Linked DNA regions of Nothobranchius furzeri. The protein of the gene in region 1 interacts with the protein of each later gene in a biochemical or structural test. Links are inferred from orthologs where the notes say so. Each region holds a gene or a part of one and is shown on either strand. Other genes may lie near its edges. The genes, in order: mlxip and mlx.

What was found.
Region 2: the proteins of mlxip (region 1) and mlx form a complex in vitro, tested with the Homo sapiens proteins (2 studies listed by BioGRID, with this or other methods). The link is inferred for Nothobranchius furzeri from reciprocal best matches to the Homo sapiens genes MLXIP and MLX.

The regions. Positions count from the first base shown.
Region 1 is NC_091757.1:46,783,259-46,790,736, forward strand, and holds the start of mlxip (MLX-interacting protein), read right to left. Parts: upstream 4,687-7,478; 5' UTR 4,403-4,686; coding exon 4,092-4,402; intron 157-4,091; coding exon 50-156; intron 1-49. UniProt on the Homo sapiens protein: Binds DNA as a heterodimer with MLX and activates transcription. Binds to the canonical E box sequence 5'-CACGTG-3'. Plays a role in transcriptional activation of glycolytic target genes. Involved in glucose-responsive gene regulation.
Region 2 is NC_091745.1:7,585,466-7,591,004, forward strand, and holds the end of mlx (max-like protein X), read right to left. Parts: intron 5,332-5,539; exon of another isoform or gene 5,264-5,331; coding exon of another isoform or gene 5,252-5,263; coding exon 5,215-5,251; intron 5,089-5,214; coding exon 4,999-5,088; intron 4,443-4,998; coding exon 4,333-4,442; intron 4,238-4,332; coding exon 4,135-4,237; intron 3,116-4,134; coding exon 3,016-3,115; intron 2,269-3,015; coding exon 2,067-2,268; intron 1,983-2,066; coding exon 1,926-1,982; 3' UTR 1,702-1,925; downstream 1-1,701. Other genes in the region: psmc3ip (homologous-pairing protein 2 homolog), read left to right, coding at 1-26, 105-158, 246-305, 376-432. UniProt on the Homo sapiens protein: Transcription regulator. Forms a sequence-specific DNA-binding protein complex with MAD1, MAD4, MNT, WBSCR14 and MLXIP which recognizes the core sequence 5'-CACGTG-3'. The TCFL4-MAD1, TCFL4-MAD4, TCFL4-WBSCR14 complexes are transcriptional repressors.

The DNA.
Region 1 (7,478 bases):
GCAGTTTAGCCACATTAAAACCAAGTACAAGGTAACGTGGAGCTCTTACACTGCATGTACCAGGCTCTCCAAATGGCATTGTTCAGACGGATCTTGTCTCGCCACAGCAGCTTTAAACCTTTAAAGTTCTTCCACTTTGGAGAAACTAACTTCCCACTGGAAAAGGAGAAAAAAAAGCAAAAGGAAAGTGACAAGAAAGGTAAAACATCCAAAATATCAACATGTGGATGATGTCCAGTTCATTCTGTCAGTTTCACATTCTCACAAATGTGTGTCACATCATGAGATCAGATGTTTCATTGGTTAATTTGTTAAAGATTTGAGTTAAAACCTGTGAATTTGATAAGAACACAAAAGCCTTGCAGCTCACAAGACTAATATTTGCTCTTTTTACCACAAAACCAGCATCACTCTCACCAAGAGGCACATTTTGCTGATAGTGGGTCACATATCTGCTAACAGATTATTTTAATGGCCTAAATTTGGCTCAATGCCCACCAGGAGGAGATAAACGGGTCAAAATACAAATAAACTTCCTGTGTAATATCTGGAACTGTTAAAACAAACTACATTTGCACTTTCTTTTCCAAAGGTGATTGGTTTGTGTTCACAGGATCATGCAAGTGAAACAGTATCCTGACAATCCAGGTCATCGGAGTGTGTGCGTGTGTGTCCCGGTTTGGTTACAGAATGACAATAGCAAGCTGCGTGAGTGTCGGAGAAAATAGCATTCCTGTTCTTTACTGAGGATTAACGCTAAAAACTGTAACAAACAAACAAACTCGAGATCATTTTTGTAAGATGAACGATGACAACAAAAATAAGCAACTGGTCTATTCCTGTGAGTGAGAAGTTTAGTCCGAGGGAATCCTTCTACCAGCTGGCACCAAGACTGCAACTGTAAATAGAAAACCAGGAGTAACATGAGCCGTACAATTAATATCTTACTACCATCAGCTGAATTTCTATTAACATTTATGTAAAATGCTTTTGCACATGTAAATAATAACCCTGGTTTCACATGGTGAGGCAATGTCAATTATGTGGTTTCAGTGCATTTTGAAAGAAAAAAATTTGAAATAAGATTTCTGGTATTTTGTTAATTAAAAAGTACAAGGATGAATGTTACTGTCACAAGCATTTATCAAATAATAATTATTAAAATTGCTTATGACTGACCTACTAATACAAATTAATTTTGGACCCTAGAGTAGAGGTCGACCGATATTGGTTTTTCTATTGCCGATACCGATATGTAGGAGACATGATCAAACGATGACCGATGGGTCCTGCCAATTTTTATGGTCTGATTTTCATGGCCGATATTCAGGTGTTTTCCATCCTATTTTCATGCTTAAATGTCACTAACGACACCAGTTGATGCACAAAATGTCAGAAGCTGAATCAGTTTTTGAACTCTGAATTTAACTAACAAACCTCAACTTGTGCACTTTTCAGTGTTAAAGTCAGACACCTAAATAAAGTTAAATTGGAGTATTTATTATGCAGATGTTATTGGTGAATGTAAAATATATTTAAATTAAATTCTGCAACAGCACCAGGCTGCCTGAGGTTGTGCTTGACTTTAGATCGGCCATTGCCGACGGTACATGTCGGTCTACCCCTACTCGAGTGTGTTGGATAATTCAAGAAATAACAAAGACTGATCTGAAACATGTGTATAAGTATTATTTCAACATTGTCCATGGCTGAATTATCAACTTATGCAGAGAAAAAATGTTATTAAAAATACTGAGTGTTTGAGGATGAAGAAAACTTAAAAACTGCTTTTTAAATCATACATTTTTATAGATTTCCCCCTCAAATGATTTCAAGCTTCCTCAACTCAACTCAGCCTTTATTTATAAAGCACTTTACAGGCATGAGCATGCCACCAAGGTGCTGTACAACAAAAGAATAAAACAATAAAACATATAGCGCTACAGACATAATTAAAACCACAAATAAGAATTACGAAATATAAAACATTAACAATTGCTAACCCACAGAATTAAAAGCCAGATCATAAAAGTAGGACTTCAGCCTCATTTTAAAAACTGCTACTGATGGAGAGCCCCTAATAGTTAGGGGCAGTGCGTTCCACAGTTTCGGACCTGCAACAGAGAACACGCCCTGTCCCCTCCCAACTTCAACCTAGCCTTAGGAGCAACAAGCAGCAGCTGGTTCTCAGAGCGGAGTGACCGGCCCGGAACATATGGCTGCAGCAACTCCGTCAAATAGGCTGGAGCCACACCATTCAGCGCCTTAAACACCATTAAAAGAAGTTTAAAACAAATTCTAAAATCAACAGGCAACCAGTGGAGAGCAGCCAAAATTGGTGTCACGTGTTCATGCTTCCTTTTGTTGTCCAAGAGTCTTGCTGCAGCATTCTGGACAAGCTGCAGCCGGTTTACAGTACCCAAATAAAACGGAATTACAATAGTCGAGTCGTGAGATAATAAAAGCATGAACAACAGTCTCAAGGCCACGTCTAGATAAAAACGGCTTTACTTCAGCCAAACGTCTTAAATGATAAAATGAAGAGGATACTACAGTACCCACATGAGCATCCATGCAGAATGCACTGTCCATCTTCAAGCCAAGACTGACTGCTGAAACACCCAAATAGGAGTTCAGTTCACGCAGTCTACGTTTGAAAAATCAACATGTCCACTCGGACCAAACAACAGTGCCTCTGTTTTTTTCCCATTGAGACACAGGAAGTTTTCTGCCAACCATATCTTTATTTCTGCCAGACAATCCAAAAAAATGTTTTATCGTGTGATCACCGGCGCCATGTAGAGGCAAGTACAATTGGCAGTCGTCAGCATAGAGATGGAATCCAATTCCAAACTTTCGTAAAATGTCACCCAATGGGAGAATATAAAATGAAAACAGCAAGTGTCCCAGTATTGAACCCTGCGGTATCCCCCATGGCAGATGTGAGAAGCCCGATGAGAAACCACCCATCCTCACACAAACCATCCTGTCATGTAAACATGATCTAAACCAATTTAGGGCTTGCCCAGAAATTCCCACATAATGTTCAAGGCGATGGAGCAACACTTCCTGGTCTACGGTATCGAAAGCTGCTGTAAGATCCAATAGGACCAGCAGCACTGGACTGCCACCATCTGTTGCTAAAAGAATGTTAATGACCTTTATAAGGGCAGTCTTGGTACAATGCAACATGTTAAAACCTGATTGGAGGGTCTCTAAAATATCAACGTCCTTAAAGAAGTCCAGGAGTTGAGTATAGACACATTTTTCAAGCTTCTTACCCAAAAAAGGGAGCTTGGAGATTGGCCTATAATTCACTGGTAAGGAAGCATCCAATCCAGTTTTTTTAAAAGTGGGTGAATAACGTTTTTTTAATCCATCGGTACAAAACCAAAAGCCAAACTGTTATTGATTATGTGCAAAATCAGTGGTGCAACTGTTTGAAAAACTTAAAAACTGCTTTTGAAATCATACATTTTCTTGCACTAATTTTTAAAATTAATACAAAAGCTGATTACTCAGACAGCTGATGTAAAAACGAGTCATTATTACCAAACTATTGTTAATTTAGCTAATTTTCTCACTCCTCTACGTCAATACGAGACTCCAAAAAGCTCAGCAATAACATTACACATCATATCATGACAGATGTCATCGTGTTGCCTTTAATTTGTAACAAGATATAAAAAACGTAGCCTATAAGCTCATTTTGGCTCAATAATGCTACTCAACTGATCCTATTGGTCTTACAATGTCCACTCTCAAATAAAATACCAACACAAGTCTAATTAGATTTGTTTAAAACATTAAATACATTTTAATTTATATCTTTTTTGGTTTAGACAAAGTTACTGCGCATCAATTAGTCCTCATGCTAACAATTATTGCACAACTTAATATAGTTGGGTGTAAAACGTGTGAAAGGAGGTGTTTACTTCGCAGACTACTTTCATTTTTGCTGATACTTGCAAACTTCTTCAGATGACTGGTCCAACAGGAAATGACATGAATATTAGACTCGTGAGTGTGACTGGATACCACACTGGGCTAAAGTAAAAGTGCCCATGTGACAGGTGAGTGTAGCAGCTTACCTGTAGGCGAGGGTCATGCATTCAAAGAGTTTAGTCAGGGACGCGTCGATAGAGAGGTGCGACATGCTCGCCTTGCCAAAATGATACGTCTGGCAGGTCTGTTTGTTCACAGTGTCGAAGTCGTAGCCCTTCTTCGGGGGGTGCTCGCAGTGAGGCGACGACACCATAAAGTGTCCGCTGTGGATGATCTGGGACTCCAGTCCGTCCGCCCTCCGTAGCCCCAGCAGCTGGCTCTCCTCCGTGTCCGAGTCATCATCCTGCTCCTGCTTTACGTTGACCGCCGGCCGAAGGTCCGCCTGCCGCTGATACATCTCCCTGCTAGCCGTATCGGTGCAAACAAATAGCTAACGTTAGCCAGCGAGCTAGGACAATAACACCGTCCCTTTCATGAAGCTGGCCAGTGGCGCCGCGTTCGAGTCCGGTTTTTAAAGTTGCCCAACTCCGTGCCATGTATGCGGAGTTGTCACTTAATCCATAATCCAGCCGGCTCCAGGTCATTCAGCGGCCCGTGTAAACTTATGAGCTTTGTTTAGGTAGTTGACGTAGCTGTAAACCAGCTGACAAAAAGCTGTTCCTCTCTGTGGAACAGGAAGTTCCTTTGTTTCAGCGTTTCTGATTGGTTAGTTATAGCCACGCCCACAACATGATGCCCAAAATAAACAGAAGCGGCACAAGACAAGACAGTCTTCTCTTATAGCTATTATTCTCCAAGCCAAATACACAGTGAAATCTCTGGTAAACAAAAACAAGTATTATTTTAGGTGTTATTGCTTTCCAAAGTCCCTTAGATTTTGAATATCTTGCCAACAGTAATTATGAAGTTGGCTGATTTTAGAGCTTTTATTCTCAATGATAGTTTTTATTTTAAAAGCCAGAAGTTGTGTCTGCATAATGCATATCCAGTGCCAAGACGGAAACAGTTACATTATTGATAAAACAGTTTGAATGCTCTGCCCCTGGATAAATTCATTGATTTGATGTTTTTACGTGACAGCTGAATTTACCATACTGAACATAATGTAACAAAAACAGAATTTTATCCAGTCAGGACTGGATGTCAATGACTGATGTAGAGAGTTGAAAATAGCTTTCTAGTAAAATCTGGTATCAGAAATAAGATGGGGAAAACTGTTATGATTGTATGTGTGTACCTGTCAGTTTACAATGCTATTCCGCATACAGCCGCTAGAGGGCGCATTACGCGCAGTGGTATCGAGTAGCGTTTTGGGGCACAGAGGAAGAATAAACCTTCCTGTTGTGAAACTGACATCAGCTCAACGTGTGTCCCTTTTTCTATTCTTTATCACAGACACACGTTATTGAACAGGAAACCAGTTGCCCCTCTGGTCATCATCTTAGGGAGGCAACAATTCTGGGGGCTCGTCCGGGATTAGCACCATGGTGGTCAGGTGCTAATCAGCCAAGAATCGCGGGATCCATATCCTTCTGATGCACAACAGTAGTGACGGTTGACGCCAGGTATCCAGACATGGCCACTCTACATGACCTACAGTGGGAGATCCAGAACCAGCTTCATCAGCTGACCAGAGCCGCTAACAGGGACCTGCTACATAAACTTGCAGTATGGTGTCAAGAAGAAGAGGTGGAAGATGCTCCCGGTGAGGATGCAACCGAGGTGGAGCTCTTTGACTTTATCGTTGACTTTCTGAGAAGTAAACGACTGAAGAGCCTCGAAGATCAGGGCATGTCTCGTCTGCTTGCATTTCGTGACCTCATTGATGACCTGCAAGCATCCCAGGTAACTGTTGAACGTGGTCAAGCTTCTGATGAAGGGGATGCTGTGGCTGTACCAGAGACTGAACCAGCAGTAGTGGCATCAGTAATGAATAAGAGAGTCTCAACATCAGTGATTGCTGATCCTGTAACTGGTTTAGTGAAATTGACAGATGTTGCGGCATTGTTACCACATAGAGAGTTTAAGATACATGGTGGTCAAATCTCAGACTCAGCTTCTGATTTGAGTTTTAACTGTCTATGTAAACAAATTGATGAAGGTCTAGCTGAGGGGTTCTCAGAAACTGAGGTTGTCAGAACCGTGCTCAAGGTAATTAAGCCTGGTACCTTTAAAGATATGCTCATGACCAAAGACACCCTGACTCTTGCTGAGTTAACAAGGTTCCTTAAAGCACATCTTAGGGATAAAAGCAGCACTGAATTGTTCCAGGAACTAAGTAACGCAAAGCAAAATGACAAAGAAAGCCCACAACAGTTTATGTATAGACTAATGGGGGTCAAGCAGCGTATAATGTTTGCTTCTAAACAAGGTACAGACTTTCAATATGATGGTAAACTGGTGCAGGGGGTGTTTCTTCATTCACTTTACCAGGGGATGAATGAAAAATGCTCATACATCAGACGAGATCTTAAACCACATATTTCAGACATGAATGTGACTGATGACTTTATACTTGAGGTGATCACAAGATCACTGAGGGAGGACACTGAGAGGAAAACCAGGTTGGGACAGGTATACAAACAAAAAGCAATCAGTATCAACACAGCCCAGCTGGACAGTGATAAACAGAACGCCACTCAAGTGCAGGCAGAGGTGCAGGCCAATCGCAATGCGATACAGGAGTTAACAGCCCAAGTGTCATCTTTGGCCAAAAGTTTGGAGAAAGCCCTCACACCAGTAGCGAATGTGGCGACCGAAAACACTTACAACTCTTTTCCCCACATCAAACAGTCAGCCAAGCCTGAAGTTAAAGGGAAATGTCACCAATGTGTATCCCAAGGAAACGACGTCTGCTCACACTGCTTCCGATGTGGAAAAGAGGGACACAGAGCTATTGGCTGCTTACAAAAGGGAACTCTGTCGGGAAACCGGGTGAGGTCGCTGGGGGGGGACCACCAGTGACCTTGGAGAATGCAGAGTCCCCAATCCCAGAGAAGCAGCATTCCAAAGAGAAAAGTTCTTCTTCAACCAAGACCTCCAGATCGTGCCAAGCGTCCAAAAGGGAGCGTGTCGCTCAGCTGATTGGGGGTAGATGTATGGTAACCTGTTATCTTGATGGGGTCAAACTTCAAATGTTGTTGGATAGTGGGGCCCAAGTAAGTATTGTGGAGAAGTCTTGGGTGCAAAAAGCCTTACCAAACGTGACAATTAGGCCACTAGAAAGCCTATTTTCAGACCACCCACTCAAAGTTACTGCAGCTAATGGTACAGAGGTGCCATTTGAAGGGTGGATAGAAGTTCTTCTTGAGATCACAAGTAGCAGGCACGGCTCAGTTGCTATTTATGTTCCCATGCTAGTAAGTCGCGGAGGGTTAAGCAGCCCGCTACTAGGCTTCAATGTGATACAGGAGATGATTGCAGGGAATGGTGATCAAAGAGACGATGGCCACTTAGTAAGTCTCCTTTCAGAA
Region 2 (5,539 bases), on another chromosome or scaffold:
ATGTCACACCAGAGGAGAAGGAGAAGGTGTGCACCTATAAAGTCTCCGTTCTGGCGAGGTGGTCTGCTTTCCCCTGAAACACACGTTCATGTTTTCATTTGCAGGTTTACAAAGAGCAAGAGGTTTATGTGAAGGAGTGGAAAAAGAGGAAGAGATTGGTACATGTATTCATTTGGAGTTAGAAATGCCTTCACACCAGATACGTTTTCAGCAACGAGCATTTAATAATTATTTGGGTCTGTCAGGCTTCAGAGATGATGAACGCCATCCTGGAGGGATATCCAAAGAGCAAAAAGGAGTTCCTGGTGAGCTGAAGAAGCAACATCACATTTCCTACATGGAAAAACAAATCCTCCAAGCTTTGTTCTTCTACAGGAAGAGGTTGGCGTGGAGACGGACGAGGACTGTAAGGTGGTGGTTCCAAGTTCTTGAACAAGGAAGTGGACCACACATCGGAGCTTTTTGAGCCACTTTATTTAACATTTCTTTCGAATAAATAATAAAAGGAAAAAAAATCAAACACATTTGTACAAAAGTTAGCATTCTTATTGGCTAGACTACATGTAGCTACTGCATCGAGGGCTGATTGTGACCCTAAAGGCAACTGTGGTGTTTTCTCCCCTTTAAAGCATCTTCATTATCCTGAGCTTACATAGAAAGTCAGCAAATGATTCAAACCTCTAACAGGCTTCAGATAGTTTGCTGCATACATTATTATATAGAGTGAACTGTTCAGCTGTTTCTAAATCAACATTTTCACAGTTGTTAATACTGCCAAAACTGCTTTGGGCTCATTCGCTGGTCACCACTACAAAACTACGATCCTGCCCTTTTCTGCTGTTGGTTTTGCACTTTATGTTCTCGTATGCAAATAAAATATTAAGTCCATAAATTGAAGTTTCTCTCCTGATGGTGATTAATTCACCACCGGCCACCATGCGATGTCATCAAAACAGCATCAGCAGCAGTCCACTGAACATATACACAACAGGGCAGAGGGAAGAGTGCAGTTTTGACGTTACGGGAAAAACTAGAGAGACTTTAGTGGCTGTGTGTTTTTATCTGTGCGTAACCTTTTAAACATTTCAAACAGAAAAATATTAGAACATGAAACGAGCCAGACTTCCGCAGCAGATCATGTCCACAAGAACAAAACGTTCAAATCTGCTGCTGATCCTAGAGAATCTAGAGTCAGAGGTTTGGAATAAAAAAAACAAACTGATGCATTTTAGAGTTTCTGCTTTCACTGTAGCACAGAGCGACGTCACGGATCATGAAAACACGACAGCATTTAAAATCGGGCTGAAATTCAAAGAAGGCTCATTAAAATCAACACCTGCTAAATGAACCTTTTTGACAGGTCACCTGCAGCTAAACTGTGACTAAACACTAAAGCCTGTTGGAGACCTGTGGCATATTTACAACATTTATCCGCCTCATTCTTGGAACTAACCATTTATTTACCGCCACACTGAAGGCAGAGGACTTTAAAACCACCAGTGTGTTTCTCTGAGGCGCCACAGAAGCTGCGTTCAGCGTTGGAGCAGTGACCGTTGACAGGAATGGCAGACGTGCTGCGCCGGAAAAAAGGACCACATGTATAAATAAATGGAATAAGTCAGATTTTTGTAGCGATGAGGCTAAAATGTGTGCTAACATTTTTCTGTTTGAAAGCATAAGTTGAAATTTTCTCGTGTTTTACACTCAGCTCTATGGGAATGTAAACACGGTCAGAAAGTGGCTGAAGGCAGCTTTTTTTAAATTCCTGCTAAGAAAACACGATGAGGTAATCAACACGCAGGCGCAGAGTCACCGATGGGCTGACGCGTGCGAATACTGCACGGCCTGAAGGGTTTGCTCCATCCAGAGAGGCAAGAGCAAGTCAAAAGTCATTTTCTGGAAGTTAGCCGGAGGCTTCTCCTCGATCAATAAAGCTGGCCGTTGAGCTGCCGGAGCACGCCGACAACAGACTCCTGCAGCGTCTGAGGCAGAGCAGAAAAAGCACTAAATTATCTCAGCTGAGCGATCTGGTTTGCTGAGAAGGACGCGCCGGTGGCGTTCCTTACCTGTGGCTTGCAGTGCTCCTCGATCCAGCTGAAAACACAGGCTGACAGTTCCTGGAAGCTGCTCACTGAAACCGAGTTGCTGAAGGACACAAACAGGGAGTCCATGATGTTCTGAAAAAGGTTGAATTTGACCTGGTCAGACACCTGATCTTCTCCCTGCTGCGGGTTGTTCTGGTGGGCCTTCACTATGTGCTCATAGTTCCTGTTGGGAAAGACAGCAGGTTCAGAACAACACCACAAACCCTGCCTTTCTTAATATCCCAGATGGTTCCACTGAATTTCCTTACTGCCTTTAACACTTCTAGGTATTTAAAGGGACAATGTGCCGTTTTTATCGTTAATCTCTGGAAATATCCATCGAAATGTTGTTGAAAATAAATTAAATGGTGCCCAGTTGTTGAAAAATATTGGCAGATTCTTAACATGTAACCATAAAAGTCCAGTCTACATTACATGGGAGCGGGTCTAAGTCGTATTAGACGCCATGTTTCCTGGCTGCTACAGGAGCCCTTGAGGGCAAAATGCAATTACTGATTTGTAACAAGTGCTTACTAAAACTTCACCGTTCATAAACGTTGTTTTACACGTTTACCTCTTTACTCATTGTCACTGATGAAAGGGAGTCTGATGTGCTTGTCATTTTGCTGAAGTCTGCACTCCCCAGGGCTTTTTGACCCTAATGGGCATCTGTTGGTAAGGTCTTACTCCCAACACAAAAATACAGCTTGATTGCAACAATTCAGGTATCTACTGCCCCCTATCGCCAGGAAAAATACACACTGTCACTTTAAGCCTCAGATCAGACCTAGAGGATCAGTCTCATTTGCCCCCGTCCATGCTCGTCACTTCTGAGGTCCTAATGTGTCCTCCACACCACTGGTCAGACAGGACTGGGATGTGTTTACACAAGTCTCAGGTAGAAAGATAGTCCAATAAAAACCCGTCTTACGTTTTCATTATCTTAAGCGCCATCACTTCTTTCCTCAGGATGGAAACTTCCTCCTCTTGCTTCTTCTTTTCTTTGTGAAGAAAATGGATGTAGTCGATAGCTAAAGCCATAAAATACAGAAAAGCATCAACCAGCGACTTCTTTACAACACCGGAAGTTTAAACGTGGGGGTGTCGTTACAACTTCTCCATTTTGTAAATGAGCATTTGTTTAAACAAGAACGTTTATGTTCTCCTGATCCCAGTCATGTGATTGCGAGTATGTGCTGATACCGTGTCCCGATCCGATACTTCAGCAACGCAATTAAAATAAGAAAAAAGAATACATCCAAGTTCTCCTCTTTATTATTCATCTTTATTTCTTCTGGTATTTTTGTCATTTCCTTAATTTATTTGCCAAATAAATCACTCGTTCAAGAAGTGAATTGATTAAAAGTATGTTAATAATATGAATATATTATTAATAACAGATAAGGTGCCTCGTCGCCGTGCTGAGTGATGTGCATGGCATGATGTGCACGGTCGGCAGACTCACTTTTCTCTGCTCAACACCTGCAGAGCTGCGTGTGACGAGAAGGAAACTCACCGCGGCTCCAGGAGACCCGACGTTTGCAACCATCTTGACGGCGACACGTTAGCTCTGTGTTAGCCTGCTAGCTAACAGCTACATGTTATAGTGTCTGAACTCCACGTCTGTAAATTTTGTGACGTTTCTCTCTATGAAACAAAGAATATTGACGTAGCAGAACTTGTTCAAATTCAACCTAAGCCATTGTTATTCAGTTTAAAAATTTGTATAAGGATGAATGTAAAAGGTCACGTCCTTTCCCACCTGATTCCGAATGATTCCTGATCAAGAGATCGAGTCGGAGCCTCCCCAGGCAGCGGCTGGAGGTTTACTTTAAATATATGCAAACTGCTCAGCCTATTAACAGTGTCTGATTTGTTATTTTATGGCTAATAAAGTTGAAGAACAGCAGCAGGGAGGGCTATTCATCATGTCTCACGCATAACCTGCACATTTTAAAATAACTAAAAGGTTTTATTATTGTTTGTACAGAGTTCTTTTTTTCTACCAACAGTTCAGTGTAAAAATGTTCAAATTGCAAAAGGTTCCTACTTTTCTGCAGAACAGTAGCCTTGCTGATCTTCTGGGCTCCAACTGCAAACTCAGACTGCTGCTGGCACGTAGGAACGATGGACTGCAGGTCACCATAGCCTTTCTAATGACACATAGAAATCAATATTAACTCTTAAACAGCCAGAATTTTAAATCTAACTCTTATAAAGTGTGTCAGTTGGAGTCCTGAAGTCCTACCTTGATTGCATCTCTGCGCTTTTGCTCAGCTTGAGTGTGTGCTTGTCTCCGGCGATCTTTAAAGGAGTCTTTAAATGACGTCTCGTGCCTGTAATCGCTGTCTTCATCATCTGTTTGGGAACAAGCCTCTGACATCTGTACTCTCAATGAACTCATTTGCAATTATTTTCTTGCTTACATATCTGGTGTCAGTTTAAAAACAGAAATTATTTAAATCAAGTTTAAAATGAGAAAAAATGGACGGATGTTTTTAATTTTGTAAATCTTAAAATCGAATGAAAACTTGCATCATTTTTGTGTTGGCTCCTTCTACAATATAACACAGGGCTGTTTCTGTTTCAGCAGCAAATATATGTTTGCTTCAGTCCGGTCAAATTATAGACGGATTTTTAGCAAATGCAAAAAGGTAGAACATAGAGAGTTTATTTATTAAATATGGCAAGTTCACCTTCCCAGACTAGATTTTAAAGCATGAGACGAAATACCATCAAGACTCACCAGACAGGTTTGTGTTTGAATGTGAGACAGGAAACAAAATAAATAAAGGCACCATCTCTGTGATTTGTTGTTTCAACCTTTTCTTTAAGGATAAGGAGTAGTCAAAAGGCACGTTCACACTTATAAACTATCAGCAAGATAAAATCATCTGTGTTTTAAACACGATACCTGTATTTGGTACTGAAGAGGCACTGGTTGAGCCGATACTGTTGGCTCTGGAAACAATGCTTCCCTTTCTAGCAGTTTCAGCAAAGAAACCTGGAAAACAACCCAGATTTTATAAAAAGGGTTAAAAATAAACCCACCATTAACAAAAATGATTTAATTAATCATGTGCTATGTGAAAATGAAAAAGCATTCATTAGAAAAGTAAAAATGACTCACTTGTGTCAAACCCACTGTCACTGAAAGCCCCGTCTGTCTGTCCAGCCATCACCAAGAAGAAGAAAAAGGAAACCAGAAGCTGTGAGATTGGGTTGAGGAGGGGAAATGTGTGCTGCCCTAAATATGTCGACAAAACACAAACAGCAAGCCAATCCAAACCCCACTGAGCACTGTCCTGATTTGTCCAATTCAAGAACAGAAGATAAAATTGCTTCAATCACAGATCTGCTGTTTGATGTAGTGCAGCACAACACAACAGTCCGTGTTTTTATTTATGTAGTTATGTATGTTAGCCTAGATTTCCTCCTGATTCTGGGGGAGAAAC